Drosophila melanogaster: one gene and its partner. The protein of the gene in region 2 binds, or shares a complex with, the protein of the main gene of each other region. Each region holds a gene or a part of one and is shown on either strand. Other genes may lie near its edges. A codon is read from its position in the direction of its gene.

Region 1 (7,373 bases), 2.3 Mb from region 2:
GAGGAAGGAGCAGCTGGAACTTTCACAAAGTCCACATATCAAAAAAGGTAGATTATTATGCCTTCGAATTCCGATCATTATTTTTTTAAACGAAAAAATGCTTTTAATGATACGGCTTGGCTGGCGGAGTGCCAGCTTTAAACAAATCGGCTATGCAAAAAGCTATGTATGGAAAAGAGCAAAACAAAAAACAAAATTAAGAGAACATCTCAAAGTGCAGGCTCTGTCCCGTACTCGGTCCCGTACTAGCCTGATTCAGGTTAAACCAAAGACACTAGAAGTGTCAATCTAATGATGATGAATTAATGATGAATCCGTCCTTATACCAAAAACTAAAGAACAAGATTTACAACTTCAATTGCAATGCCTTATTTTGAGTCAATTTCTTCTATGTCTTCTAAAATGTCAGCTTTTTGATTCGCTTTTAGGTTATAGAAAATAGGGTTCCCTGGGGCGGGGTTCTAATATATATATTTTGCACACAGTACAAGGCTGAGTAATTGCTACAGTAAATATTACGCAATTTTATGTACATAAGTTAGTATATGACATGATAAAATGGCTGATAAAAACTAATAAATGCGAAGAAACCACTAGGGATTCTTAAAGTATTTGTTGAATATATTTATATTATGAAATTTACAAACATATTTCTTGAATTGACGTTTTTGCCTCGAACAAAGTATTTGCAATGAACTATCAATAAGTAAAATATTTTTAAACGAAGTCCCAAGCTTTTCTGATTAAGCCCCTTTGAGTTATGAATATATATTTGGCAGGGGAAATGCCAACACGTTCTGATACTGTATAAACAAAGATTGCCAAGTTTGAATCATTTATGGAAAACAGCCCGGCTACAGTGCGCGACATGTGTATATGGCGTCCGCAAGCAAACGGGTTGAACTTTTCAAATTTTATAAATACACGCTGCTAAATTTACCACGAAAATGTCGCGACGCATTTGAGAAATTTGCCTATAAATGCGAAGTCTAGACGACTTTGACATGTTGCAAGTCGACACTGTTTGCAGGCGGTCTTCTGCTGTAAATTAAGCGAAAATGTGGCGTCTATACAAGCATTCTATTTGCGGATGCTGCCAGAGGCACTTCGGTTTTCATTTCATATTCAGCATCAAAAGATCACTCCGCTGACCACGCAGAGTTTGGGTCTCGAGTCGCCGGACAAGTTTTAGTTGAAAAATCCGCGGGCTTGGAGCTAAACGGCCTTGCAAGGCCTTTTAAAGTTGTTGCAACCGCCCTGTTCTTGTTGGTGCTGCTTTTAATGCACAGTTAAAATAGCCTACAGCGTTTTAACTTAATGTGTTGACAGCTGTTTAAGCTATTTCAAACAACTTGAGTCACTTTGTTGCTTTAATAATGAAACCATGCCAGCATTAACAAGTATGACTCAATAGGGATATACCTTAATTTTATCTATATATGCATGTATAATATTCATTTAAGATAAATATTAAGGAGCGTGTCAAAAGATTGCTGCAACTTTGTAATTCCTAAGTTCCTCATATTACATTTCAAAAGCTATACTCTACAGTTGATTCTGTTTATGTTATATTTTGTGGCTTTTTATTAACAGCCAACTGCAGCGGAGCTGAAAACCTGTTTGCCATTTTTGTATTCTCTTCATTCATTTGTGCGGCGATTGGCAAAAGGTGTCATAACAACGCGTTGGGCACGATTCGATTAGACTAGCCACTACCCATTGCTTATAACATGTGCTGCCTGTCGGTCCCTTTTCTAGCCACCATGTATTTACCTGCTCCATTCAGGGCCAAAAAAAAAGGAAGGAAAGAAAGCACCTGGATCGACAATTGTGGACGTGTGCCGGCAGCTGCAGCAACTAGGTAATAACCGATCAGAGGATCGCCGAAAGCGGAGCCAGCAACATCTGCTCCTGGGGCAAGGGTCCTCATCCTTATTGTGCACGCTTCCAGTGAAAGGATCGCGCGGCACATGACGACGCCAGCTGCCGTCGATCCTTTGTCAGGATATTTTCGGTGTGTGGATGTGTGGAACAATCCAATAATGAGCCTACCGAACTGAGGTGTCCCGCGGATCTTTTGCTGTCAAATGATGGAGCCTCAAAAAGGATGTATGTATATTGTATATTTAAGTTTATGGTGTAGTGGATAAATACTCAAAAATAATTTTATTCATCATTTTCAGGGGAACACCAAGTGAACTCATCAGTGAACTACTATTTGAAGTAAGGAATTTGAGAGGTTATGACATTACTCAAGTGACCTAATTTCCTGTGAAACCATCTAGTCACCGTTACTAGGTATAGATTAGACTTGCCAGTTGACAGTTGTTTTAAACAAATATCTCACGAATGAATGACGCAAAACAGAATGCAGCGAGGATATATGAATTTCGTTCTAGTAAAATAAGTGAGGTAAGCAACTGATGCTATAGGCAAAACCCCATCAATCATAGGAACCTACGCAGCGCTGTAAATGGAAATGACATTGAGCGGTAATTAGAAATTGGAAAATTCTAGCTAGTAAACGCGTTCCACGAATGGGTGGGTTTTGCAGCATGGGGGTGGTGTTGATTTCATCATGAATGAAATGCGATGCGAATGAGCTCAGCATCGGCGGAGATAAAAGGTACAATCTTAGTTAATATCCAGGCAGAAACATGTGCGACAGACAGATTTCATTCCAACCCATCCCTCAAAATGACAAGCTAGCACAAGAGCGAATAAGATAAGACGGGATCCTGACATATGCCTAAGTATGTATGTACATGTGTATCTCGGCCTCCAGATTGTTTTAGAAATCACTAGAAAACGCCAGAGAGCGGAGAGCGAGATAGGGAGAAAGGGGGAGAGAGAGAGAGTGAGAGAGGGAGGGATAATGGTCGTGTCCCTGTTTATGTGGGGGTAAGGACATGAATGAAAAAAGGCGTGTTGGAGAGAGAAAGGTAGACAGGCGGCGCCTATTTGTATGCAGCATAATTCAAGTATAGTAAAGTAAACCCATTTTGTTTTTTCTATAAACCGCGGGAAGATTGAACACACATATTTATATTTACTTACCAGAGACATTTTAAACAGTGATAACGTATCAGTTTATCATTGGTTTTTTTAATGCCTTTTTTCGGCCACCAAATCGTTAATTGTTTTCGTTCACCTCTTATCGCACCACGATAAGATTATAAAATCACTTAAAATAAGTTTTGCTGTATAAAATGTTTACACAACTGTGCTCACGTCGACTGGTGGGTTTGAATGCCGTGCAACGACTACGCCAAAGCTATGTGCCTATATAGCTCACTTTCCTATAGGTATTTGTTTTGTCGGTTCTGCGTTCTCGTTTTGTTTTGTTTTGCTTGGCTTTCTAGTGAGCGAGAGGGTGCTGGCGGGGGAAAGAGAGAGAACTAGCGGGGCGGAACGGTCGAAATAGTTTTTTGCCGCCCAAGCGATGCGCAATTATTTTTGGGGGTGGGATGTCCGCACTTTCGTTGGCTATTCCAGCTGTGCGTCTCTAAACTGGAATGTTTTTTTTAAAACTTTTTTAAGTTTAATTAATAACTATTTTGCAAGCTATTTATATTTCTGAATATATTAAAATTTCAAAAACAAACAACTGTCAGCACACGAAGTCGTAGTTTTAAATAAATGCTAAATGGGGTCACACTGTTCAAGGTGCTTGGCTCGCTGATGTATCGATACGCGCTAAAAAGATATCGATAAGATGCATCAGTGGGATCAAGTCTACGCTAGGCCGTCAGCAGCGTTTTCAACCAACATTTATCGAATAAAACGGTTTGGAAATCGAAACGGTAGTTCAGGTATAACACATATACAAAATTGAGCCACTTATAGAACAAGGGTCTGTTACCCGGTCCAGTAACACCGCGAAAACTGAGCTTATTTCGATTCATCAGAATTAGAGCCCCTAACATTTTGTCTTGATTTGACAAAAAAATTAGTGGAACAAACAGAAGAACCTTCGGCATACCGAGAACTCCCAGTAAAAACAAAATACTTTGATCAGTTTGGAAATTTATTTTAACATCAATTGTTTGTTGTTTCGGTTTAATAAACTTTCGAGAATTCTTAGTATCAAACCAGGAATAAATACAAACAATTGAGGGAAGCCACAATTAGAGAAGTTGACCAAAAACAGCATTTTTTGAGTTTGAAAGTAAATTGATTCTGTTGTATCCTCTTTTTCCTTTTTGTGTTTTATATAGATAAAATTAGAAACGGTATTAATATATTTAAAAAGTTGTTTGAAAATTGCATTGTATGTGTTTTTGAGGCACATCAAATATATCGATAGATATGGCCGCATCTATTTTTGAACTAAATGTAAAGAATTGGATGCAAAAAGAACGCATTTCTCCCGAATGGAGTAATAAGACGAACAATTACGAATACCCTAAAATAATATTGATAGTTTAATTAACATCGTTAAAAATATCGGTCCATAACAGCACTGCTAAGTGTTAACATAACTAAGACGCCATCTACAATTTTGTGAGCGGCGTTAGTGTGACCAGGCGAAAAGAGTGCTAAATATACCGCGCATTGCCCTCCGATTCACATCGTCAAAAAATTTTGGTCTGTGAACTTCGTGCGGATGAAATTCGATTTGAACGCCACCGAAAATATGCAAAATAAAGTGAAATACCAGTGCCTCGCGGACGAGGAGCGCTTCAGCGGAGAGTCCTGCAGCCATTAAAGCCCAGAGAGCACTGAAAGTTCTGGGAATTTCGCGGGAAAGGTGCGTTTTTCGCTTGGTCTTTCGGTGTGTGTGAAAAGTTTCTACTGCAATCCATTTTTCTCTACGTGCGTGTGCGGCATACGTGTGTATGTGTTGCGTCTGTGTGCGAGGCGAGTGAATGTGTGTGTGAGTGTGGAGTGGAATGTAAAATGTGGGGCGATGTAAAAATGCCTTTACATAAGTGCACTCGCATTTGCAAGGATTTTGTGCAATACCGCCATCCTGCCAAATTACATAAAATCATCGCATTTCAGTGCGTGAAAAAATACGCGGTTTCCATTTTTGTTCTATTTACTCGCGACGTCAGCGTCGCGGCTGTTGAATTTATGTCAAATTGGTAACACACACACATGCAGGCTCAGCCATTCGCGCTCTCCGTATGCAAGCCCTAACTGCATGAGTGTGTGTGAGCGGCAGAGAGAGAGAGAGAGCGCGAAAGGGAGAATGATAAACAAAGTGTAAAAAAAACAAGCGGCTGCTAAAATGCCCGCAAGTGTTTTTAATTGATATGAAAATGTGTTTGCTTAACACTATGTAGCCCAGCAGCTGGTGGCTCTAAATAAAGCATTTGCAAAATATTAATTTCTCCTATCGTATTTCTTAGTTTTTGCCCCATCCTCTTGTGTAATTTCCATTGAATGCAACAACAAAGGTGCGCGTTAAACAACAACAAATAGCATTGTTTTGCGGGAGAGCGAGTGTGAGAGAGAGAGAGCGTTCCTGATTGCGACATTGTGTGAGTGAGCGGAGAAGAAAACGCCAAGAAGTTGGCTGATAAAGCAAACGCACACGCACGCACGCACGCGCACACACACGCAAAGAAAATAGAAAAATCGTAAAATAATAATAATCAGCAAGCAGGAAAAGAAGAAGCAGCAGCAGCAGCAGTACAAACAGCAAAAGTGTAGTCGTGATCGAAAATCGAAAGTGTGAAGCATTTTCTATAAATAGTGCAAAATCAAAACCCAATTCCCATTGCAAACAAAAGCGCAATAAAGCAATTACGATAGAGCAATAGCGATACAACAGCGCTACATACAAAATCTACACACATCTGGAGCAGTCGAGCGATCTCACAGAGCGCGTGCTCTGCAGCAAGTAGCAGGATTATCTGAAGGAGCAGATCGTTCGTCTGGCCAAGAAGGATCTGCCAAGATGTCCTCGCTGGACGCACGCAACAACTCGGCGATGATGAAGCGCGCCGAGCAGCTGAAGCGCTGGGAGGAGTCGGACACAAACCGCGCCGCCCCCACCCCCCGGCACGAGCACGGCCGCAGGATCAAGTTCAGCTCCGGCTGTGTCTTCCTCGCCGCCTGCCTTTCCGGCGACAAGGACGAGGTCGTCCAGCTGCTCGACCAGGGCGCCGACATCAACACCGCCAACGTCGATGGACTCACCGCCCTGCACCAGGTAAGTCTGCCAGTAATCATCATTCTTTCACACTTAGGAATAGTCCTTATTGGGTGGTAGAAAATGTAACGTTTGAATGGTTATACTTTGCTCAACTAGTCAATTTGTAAATAAATTTAAATTAAAGAACATACAATAAAATAAAATATATTTTAAAGCTATCTTTAAAGATATAGTACACAGATAGAAAACATAAAACATTCGCTAGAAGAAAAGAAAAAGACAACAGTCTTTTAGTAGGTATTGATAATTCCCACTTAAGTAATCGTTTGCAAACAGACATTATTTTCTTGTTTGGGTAGAAGTGGCGAGTATTAGCAATTCTATCAAGGGTTGCATTTGCAGCAGGTGCAATTTCCAGTTAATTAAATGTGAATATTCACACTGCATCCCCTATCACCAGGGATTGATTTCCCACTTTAGAAGGCGGCTAGGCGTTGCGTCAGTCTGCTGCAACTGCGATCACGCGACTGGGCGAGGGGGTGGTGGGTGAATTGGGGGCGGGGTTGGGGTGGAACGGGCGCAGGGAGCTGCAGTTTCGACACTGTTGCGTTGCGTCCAACTGTGGTGCTGACGTGAATCGCACTGTGGGTCGAATTCCATGGGGTCATGGGATCAAATTATTAAAATGCTACAAGAATATCTAGCAGCAAACGAAAAGTATTACCTTATTGTTTCGTAAGGATTAACCATTTAATTTTTATGTATACTTCATTTAACTTAAGAGCGTTTAAAGTAAAACAACAAATTAAAATATAAAGAACAAATTACTAAATTGATTAATTTTACAAGATTTTCCATCGAAGAAGATAAAGAACACAGCATTATGACACATTGACGTTATTATTTAGGAATTTTTATAGGATATTCAATCAAGGTCAAGAATGATCCATCCTGTTTAGACCCACTGTGCAGCGCCGTTCGCTAGACGCTCGACCATTATTGTTGTTGGGTATTTCGTGCTCTTTCGCCGCCGCAACAATAATTCGAATTTCGAATATTAACAAATACAGCAAATACATGGCTAATGCAAGCCGACGATTTACAAGTCGAATGGCCAGAACGGCATAGCCAACAACAACAGCCACAAGCAAAAGGCAAACGGCCAAAAGCATTAAATAAGAAAAATACAAAATGTTCTATTTTTAAACACCCAAGAAAAACATACAAAACCCATACACACGAAAGCGCGTTTACATATTGAAAGCCCAAA
Region 2 (7,683 bases):
TACTCGGATCCACACCCATTGGAACAGGAAAAATGTGCTGTTGCTGGCCAGGATAAGTCTGATCCCATTGGGAGCATCCAGATTGCTGACTAGAAGCGATATCACAGCAACAGCCACAAGTCTCTTTGGAGCAGCAAGGACTCTCACTCTCACATGGAGCTGAACTGGTAGTACTGGGATCGTTGACAATGGTCTCGTCCGATCTTGATCCGGCTTCCGGAAGAGATTGACCATAGCCGTATTGATTTTGGCACATCTGCCCGGGCGAACTAGATGATGACGATTCCATCTCTCTTTGTCCAGATGTCGAGTCCTGAGTCATTGGGTTAAAGGATTGCCAGCTACAAGAAGGTTGACATACTGGATCTACAATAGCAGGAAATAAAAAGATCAATAAATTTCCAAAAATATTTTAGAAATTAGAAACTCAATATTTACATTCGCTATAGTTATAGTCTCGGTAGTCCATTGTCTGACCCTTTTGTTGAACTACTTGACCCGAGGCAATGCGAAACTCTGAGCTAAGATGCATATGAGTAAGAAAATTAAATTAAAATTATTGTTAAAATAACTTAACTTACTAACGAACGCTCATTTGCTTCAGAAAACGTGTGTATTCGCTATCTGGATCTGCCTCAGAAGTAAGTTTTTCTGTCTGGGGAGTAGAATTGTATTTCGACGATGACGTGTGAACCTTTTCCTGGTCAGATTTGGGAACTTCACTTGTCTTTTGAGCGTTTAATTCTTGAACACTTTTCGACTTGAAAGTTTTGCAGACGTCATCGAAGCTTTCGATTGAATCTAGTATTTGGCGGACTTCCTGATCCTGCTCGTCGCCCAAGGAATCATTATCATTGTCATTCTTATCCGAAGTGTTCATTATGATTATAAGATGGATATCCTGGTCGAGCTTTGCGGTATGACACCACTAAGGTATCTAGCTCATGCCTAAGTAAATGCTTTGGAATTTTGCTTCCCTTAAGGAATAATAATAATTTCTTAAAGTTTATTTACACTCTTCTCATTGAATACTTTGTTTATGCTTTTATAGAACAACTTTCTCAAAATCAACTGAAATAAACGTTTTAAGGTTTAATTAAAAAAGAACACCGAACAATTTTTTGAAGCTCTATCTATCCAGTCTGCAATACAAAAGGGAAACAGCATATTTAGATGACTTGACTATATGTATTTAAGTTAACTAGATTACACTTATTTGCTTTTATATTGCTTTCTTTTTTCTTTTTAAATGTCTATTACCCGTGGTTTTAACTATTGAAATATTTGAGTGTGGACCCAATCGAAAGCAGTTTGCCAGCAACCTGTGACTCGATGGAATTTTCACCCATTTGCAGCTCCCACCTGGCTATCTCAGATCAGTTTAACATATGTGGCACTAATTTAACTAAATTAACTACAAATATGTTATCATAAACTGTCTCTCCGCCGAGCATAATTGCAGGCGCTAAGAAGGAATTTGAGTGGAAAACGAACCCGAATGAAAACTTGATCCAGGACACGCGACTGACACTATGCGAGCATTTGCATACCCTATAATTTCCCCCTTGCTTATCATCGCCAAAAATCAAGCCACACGCGAAAAAAAAGGATAGCGAAGGACCCTAATTTCCAGGTCGCTTATTGTCATGTCACGACAATTAAACAATTTCTTGTGCGCTGGTTCCAGTGCGCTTTTGAGCGATTTAAATTAAGATAGGCGGCAAATTAGCGGCCCGAAATGTTTGCATAATTATTATTTGACTGGCGAACTTATCAGGCGCCGCTGATCGCTTGCTGCCACAGATGTTACACTTTTTCCACTTCTGGGGTTAAATGGGTTTCCGGGCTTGCTAAAGGGTACACCCCCTTTGCCCTTTTCCTCTTTTTCCCTTTGACCCCGAGCCCGATGACTTGGACATTGGTGGCACAAACTGGGATCTGCGGTTAAGCGTCACCTTTGCTTTTTAACCCTTTTGGGTGGAGTGTGCCTGGCATGACACGACGGGAAAATTCTCTGTCTGCCCTTAACCAAAAATGTGTTTTCCCTTTTAAGGTGACATATTGGTTTTGACGATAGCGATCGCTAAATGTTTGCTTACTCCGCCTTTTCCTGGCAGGACGGTTATCCTTTGCCATTTCATTGCCCAAAATGGAATACAAAGGCTTAATTCATAAGCGGTTATTAAAAGAGTGTATTAAACAAAATTTCATATTATTTTGACGTATTTTTTTATAAAAACTTTGGTGAAACAAATAAATATTCTTTTGAATTTATTTTAAAAACGTTTTAGTTTATTTTTAAAATATTTTAAAAACGCTTCGAATAATTTTTCAAAAACATTTTAATAGAGTTCTACACCTCCGAAATAAAAGGTAATTAAATATATATATCTCGGCAATGGTGTTGGTAAAATTCTTTATGTTTTTCTGAAAAGGGACAATAATAATCGTTCAAAGTATTTTTTAATTTTTTATAAAATTGTATTTATTTTTTGCTTGTTTGTCTTATAAAAATTTTAATTTCTTACAAATGCTATCTTTACATGTGATTAATTTCAATATTTCTTGTTTAATTTGCAATGCCAAAATTAAAATAATATGTTTTGAATTTTGCTAAAATCAATAATAATGATAAGATACATTTCAAATTTTGTTATTCTTGATTATTCGTATCAAAATTGCTTAAATGTTTGTTGTTGTTTTGTTTAATTTTTGTTAAAATGTATTCTGTTCGGCGGTTCTTGTATTCTATTTTTTGTAGACGTTTTGTATTTTCTCTCTTTGTTGTAAACATATAAAATTTGCTGTTTGCTTAAAATCTATTTTGTACAATTGAGTTGTTGTCTTTTGTTATTCTTGTTGCTGCGGTTGCATCTTTGTTTTGTTGTTGGTTCTGTATTGTAGTTCTGTAATATTAGTTTACGATTTATATTTGTAAGTAGTTGAAATGTAGTTGAAGTAGTTGAAGTAGAAAATTTGACAATTATTTGTTAGTTGAGTACGATACTTGTGGTTTTGCTCATACGTATAGACACTAATAAGGTTTATGACAATTTTACACATTTCTCTTTATGCTCTCTAAATGTTGTTAAGTATGTTTATGTATTTGAACCAACCGGGAAACCTTTGCTTGCAAAATTAAACATTTTTTCAAAACTTATATCGGAAAATTTGACATCCAAAAAAGTAACAAACAACCAAAATCACTTTAAGCAAGTCGATGACAAATTTTGAATTTTCTCTCTCTCAAAAATAGTTTAAAAATAGTTTTCTTATTTTGTTGTGGAAATATCCCATGTTTTACAAAACTCGTTCCTCCTCATGTGTCCATACCCAAAAAAGAAATCACAATGCGCTTTGATTGAGCCTGCCTTTCCCAGAAAATCCCAAAGATTTTCTCTCCACCAGGATGAAATATGGAAACCAAATTTAGTTCTCCTTGGAGGTGGCATCAGTCACGTCGTCCTCATCGTTGTTCTGACCGCCGCTGCTGATCTCGAAGGATATCTGAATGACCGTCGGTTGACGCTGGCTCGAACTGTAGCTGTAGATTCGCAGAGCGTAGCAGAAGATCTGGGCCAAAAGATCCCAGCATCCAAACTCCGACATGGTCATCGATCCCTGTTGACTTCCCAGCGGCACGGAAATATTGGCACGGAATTGTGGGCGCTGTTGCTGATGATGATGTCGCTGCTGCTGCTGCTGTTGTTGCGATTGTTGCTGCTGCTGCGATGGTGCAGCAGCTGTTGCAGTTGTCCTTGGACTCGCTGCTGTCTGCTGGCCGTTTTGCTGATAGCTTCTGGCCAACAATTGGGCCTGGTCGGGTATGAAATAGGCGATGGCCATGGCGGTATTTAATTTAATACAAAATGTGATTTTACAAAACGTATGAATCTTTAAAAAAATATATAACTTTAGTGTAGCATATATTTTTAATGTTTGATTTCAATATCGCTGAGGAATAATATATTCCATTCACTGCTTGCACTTTAAGTCTTGTAAGTCTTTATGTTTCGTATCGAGCACTTGGAAAATTTTTCTGACTCATTTGGCGGGAAAACGAACGAGGAAACTTGTCGCTTTTTGACGAACTTTCAACTGCGCTTTTCGCTTCCGCTTGTTATTCAATGTTCTCTCGTCGAGGTTTCAGAGTGGACTGACTGTAAATATCCTTGCTGCAGTCACATTTATAAAATAGCTCTCTTTGTACTTTCCTATAGGAAGCGAGTTCCTCTCTCGCAGTGAATGTCACCCTCCCAATTTCCACCACCCCCCGGGAGTTTGTGTGTATTGTGTGTGTGCTTTGTTTATGCCAACAACCAACCAATTGAACCACCAACCACAGGAACCCACACCACTGACAATGTGCCACCACCACCGCCAGTTTACCACCCCAAAGACACGGCTGCCTTTGTTACCTTTACTTCGGAACTAGAAAGGGGGTGGGAAAGTGGCTGAGAAGCGGTGAGAGACTCGGGAAATGAGAGCGGAATTGGGGAAAATCATTTCACGTAAGAGTGCTACGTCAAATAAAACGTAAGCTCTTTGGGATTTCGTTGTTCGAAGCGCGGCATCGAATTCATTTCGAATTTCAGGGGTTAACTTGGGCGTACTTGCTCTAGCTGAGTCTAGCAATTTTGAGGGGAAGTTTGGTCGTCGTATGCTCATTTCGAATTTCGAACTTGGATTTCACTACGGATGAATCAACAATTGTTTGTTATGACATTTTGGTTCGCATAGAAACTGATTTTTGGTGATTAAATGCAATTTAATCTTGCTTATTGTACCTATTATTAGTATAATTATTATTTTCAATATTCATTAATGGCAAACAAATTTATACCAGGGACCAACGAGATCTTTTCTTACATTGTATCACTTTGGGTTATTTATAGTATACTTCTTTACATACTTAATATATTTCAAAACAGCGGAGTCTCCTTCACCTAAAATCTCTTGGAACCACTAACCCGCTTTCAAGTTAAGCATCCTTCAACTCAAAAAGCTTGCACGGCAAATCTTTGATGCGAAAACCTTGCGTAATGGTCCTTGAAGATTCCCCCTATTGCAGCCTTAAACTTGACCATAACAAAGGGCACCCAAATGGATTGACCTTCAAGCTAACGCGAATCCAGCTCCCTCAAACATTATGCTGACGACAATTTCAACCTTGGAAAATGTTTGATCCCAGCTCCCCCATTTTCCGTTAGCTGCAGCTCATCCATTATGATAAGCTGTTCCCGGATAGTTGCAAAGTCAAGAAAGCAGTGGCTGTGGTAGAGGGGTATGAAGAAAGTATACTTATGCAAAACTGATTATAAGAAAAATTGAGAATAATTTTTGGGTATAATTTCATGAAAAAATAAATTTTATCAATAATGTAAATTTATTGAATTTGTTTTATATAATTTATTTACAATCATGATGAATTAAAATCTTACATATGGAATAAATCATAATAACGATTTTTTTTAATTAGACAAGTATATTGTATTATCTCCTCCTCTGTCCCAAATGTTCAATAAATGTCATTTAACACTTTAACATTCCAGAAAAGGACTTCCAGGGAGCGGAAAGCATAAAGCCAATTGAGCTTATTTCCTCCCCCTATGTAACATTTTTGCTGAGGGAGCTCCAACAAGGCCATCGCCAAGGCCAAGTCCGCCACTTGTGGGTGATGTTCCACAAGTCTCCTACCGGCAAAAGCTTTTTATTTCTCACCCAACTGGCTTCAAGGTCGTGCCGGCCGGCATTTCCACCCACATTCAGCTTTTCCTCTTCATTTTTGTGCGTGCGACCTTGACAATGAAATTCGTTTAGGGAGCACAGCTCCTCCAAAGAAAGTGTGGGTGAGCTTTTCCTGACACAGTTGACAGCACGTGGTCGTTATATTCTGGCATATATATAAATGTCAAGCTCAAGGTCGCTGGGTATCGATTTGCCGAACTTGGAGGGTCTGTATTACTTACCATAAAAGTTATGGGTTGGGGGTAACTTTGCTTATAAATGGTGTGCGGAAAATGAGGTGAAATATTTTTAAAAACAAAACAAAACAACAAAATTTTCTGTATTGATTGAAGTAATATCATTACTGCGAATTTAACTATTAACATGATTAATATCCCTATTTAGGTTTAAGTACTTAATTTTTCATCATTACCGAGAATTGATAAGCCGAACAGGCTATTTGAATTTTATATAACAAATATTGTGTAATTGTTTTTACTGGACTTAAAATGTTAAGTTTTTAATATTTTAGGCATTTTATAAAATCACTCTTTCTATTCAACATATCTCCTGAACAAATATTAGCACATTGATCAAGCTAATCCAAATGTCCTATCGATTTATGTTTTCCCACATAATTTTACGACAGATGTTAATACACCAATCCGCATTCACCTTACCCATCAGCCGTGAATCATTTTCCCCTTGCCGTAACATTATTTACACTTTGTGCTTCAGATTTTCATTTAGCAATATGCAGACACGGTAATCATAGAGAAGAAATATCATTTCAGAGGAAGTTCTTCCCTAACCCACGACATGCATGTGTCGGCAATATGTTAGCATCACTTAAACCCCAGCGAGTCCTTTTTCCAGGACACACCTAAAGAGTCCCAATCGTACGCTGTGTGTGTGTAACTACTTAAGTCTCATCATACGCGTTTTAATGCCCATCATCAGCCAATATCCAGCGGGCCATCATTATGTCTCTTCGCAAGGACCTCAACTCTCCGCCTCCACCACTCAACCCGGTTTCGCAGTCCGGTCTGTGCAATTATTTCGTGCATTGTTCAAGGATTGCTCGCAGAAATTTTCTTTTTTCACATAGTGAAAGGGCCAAAGTGTTGTCAGGGGATTTCCAGCCCCTGGACAATGGGCTTCAGAGAGAGAGAGAGAAACGGAACGGAAATGGTAACAATGCCGAGCTGCCAGTTCTGTTCTGTAAACAATTGACTGTGAACTCAGAAAAAACCAAAGCTTGTTCAAGAACAATTATAGTTTAATACACGTCCAGTTGTCACGTTACGTTATGTAAAACTCAAAACTTGTAAAGTTCAAAAGAGTGGTGCCTTACAACTAATTTTATAAATTTCTAAGCAATTAAAAAGTAAAAAGAGTTCTTAAAATATTAAAATAATATTTTAATTATACCCAATGCCACTTTTAAAATATCATATTTCTTAAGCCACACAAAACATTTATTTAAGATTTTTTTCAGTGTGTCGTTGGTTTGGCTGGGTCTGCAGGATTACGCACCGGTTTACAAGATGCGGCCAGCCCCTTAATGATTTCCACTTATGCACTGCAGACATCATCACCGCCATCAAAATCGGTCGAGGGCCGGATAAAGTGCATTGAAGGTCCACATCTAGTGGCCATTGGTGTGTCTGTGCTGCTGCTAATCTATATGTAAATTTTCGCCCAACTGCGGAGGCAGCTAACTGCCCAAAACGAAGCTGTAAATACCCTAAGATGTCGCAAAAGAACTCCCCTTCGATTCGCATCCACACATGACGTCATGCCAAGTGTTTGACAAATGGCTTAAAAGGGCTAAGACAAAAAGTCAGAGTACCAAACAGGAGTGGGAAATCGCTGACAACATACTAAAAACTTGACAAAGTGTGTTGGCAAGTGTCAGGCTCAGGACACGAGACTTGGAAAGGACCAGGACACACG

The links. The genes of interacting proteins can lie anywhere in the genome.
Region 1: the proteins of grim (region 2) and Diap1 are in contact, whole or in part, in a crystal structure (PDB 1JD5), measured with the Drosophila melanogaster proteins. Residues at the interface, in NP_524137.2 of Drosophila melanogaster: Ala2 (codon at 3,843), Ile3 (codon at 3,840), Ala4 (codon at 3,837), Tyr5 (codon at 3,834), Phe6 (codon at 3,831), Ile7 (codon at 3,828), Pro8 (codon at 3,825); in NP_001261916.1 of Drosophila melanogaster: Thr255, Arg260, Val261, Arg262, Cys266, Gly267, Gly268, Gly269, Leu270, Met271, Asp272, Trp273, Asn274, Asp277, Gln282, Trp286, Leu287, Glu314.

What each region holds. Positions count from the first base shown.
Region 1 is NT_037436.4:16,047,401-16,054,773, forward strand, and holds the start of Diap1 (Death-associated inhibitor of apoptosis 1), read right to left. Parts: upstream 3,635-7,373; 5' UTR 3,058-3,634; intron 2,904-3,057; exon of another isoform or gene 2,184-2,903; intron 2,110-2,183; exon of another isoform or gene 1,835-2,109; intron 1-1,834. Other genes in the region: Mbs (myosin binding subunit), read left to right, coding at 5,906-6,160. UniProt on the Drosophila melanogaster protein: Anti-apoptotic protein which functions as a caspase regulator, using its E3 ubiquitin-protein ligase activity to smother caspase activity. Binds, ubiquitinates and inactivates initiator caspase Dronc, and effector caspases Drice and Dcp-1.
Region 2 is NT_037436.4:18,300,254-18,307,936, forward strand, and holds grim (grim), read right to left. Parts: upstream 4,165-7,683; 5' UTR 3,847-4,164; coding exon 3,430-3,846; 3' UTR 2,466-3,429; downstream 1-2,465. Other genes in the region: CG13700 (uncharacterized protein), read right to left, coding at 1-366, 439-521, 582-880. UniProt on the Drosophila melanogaster protein: Activator of apoptosis, independent of rpr and hid, that acts on the effector Dredd.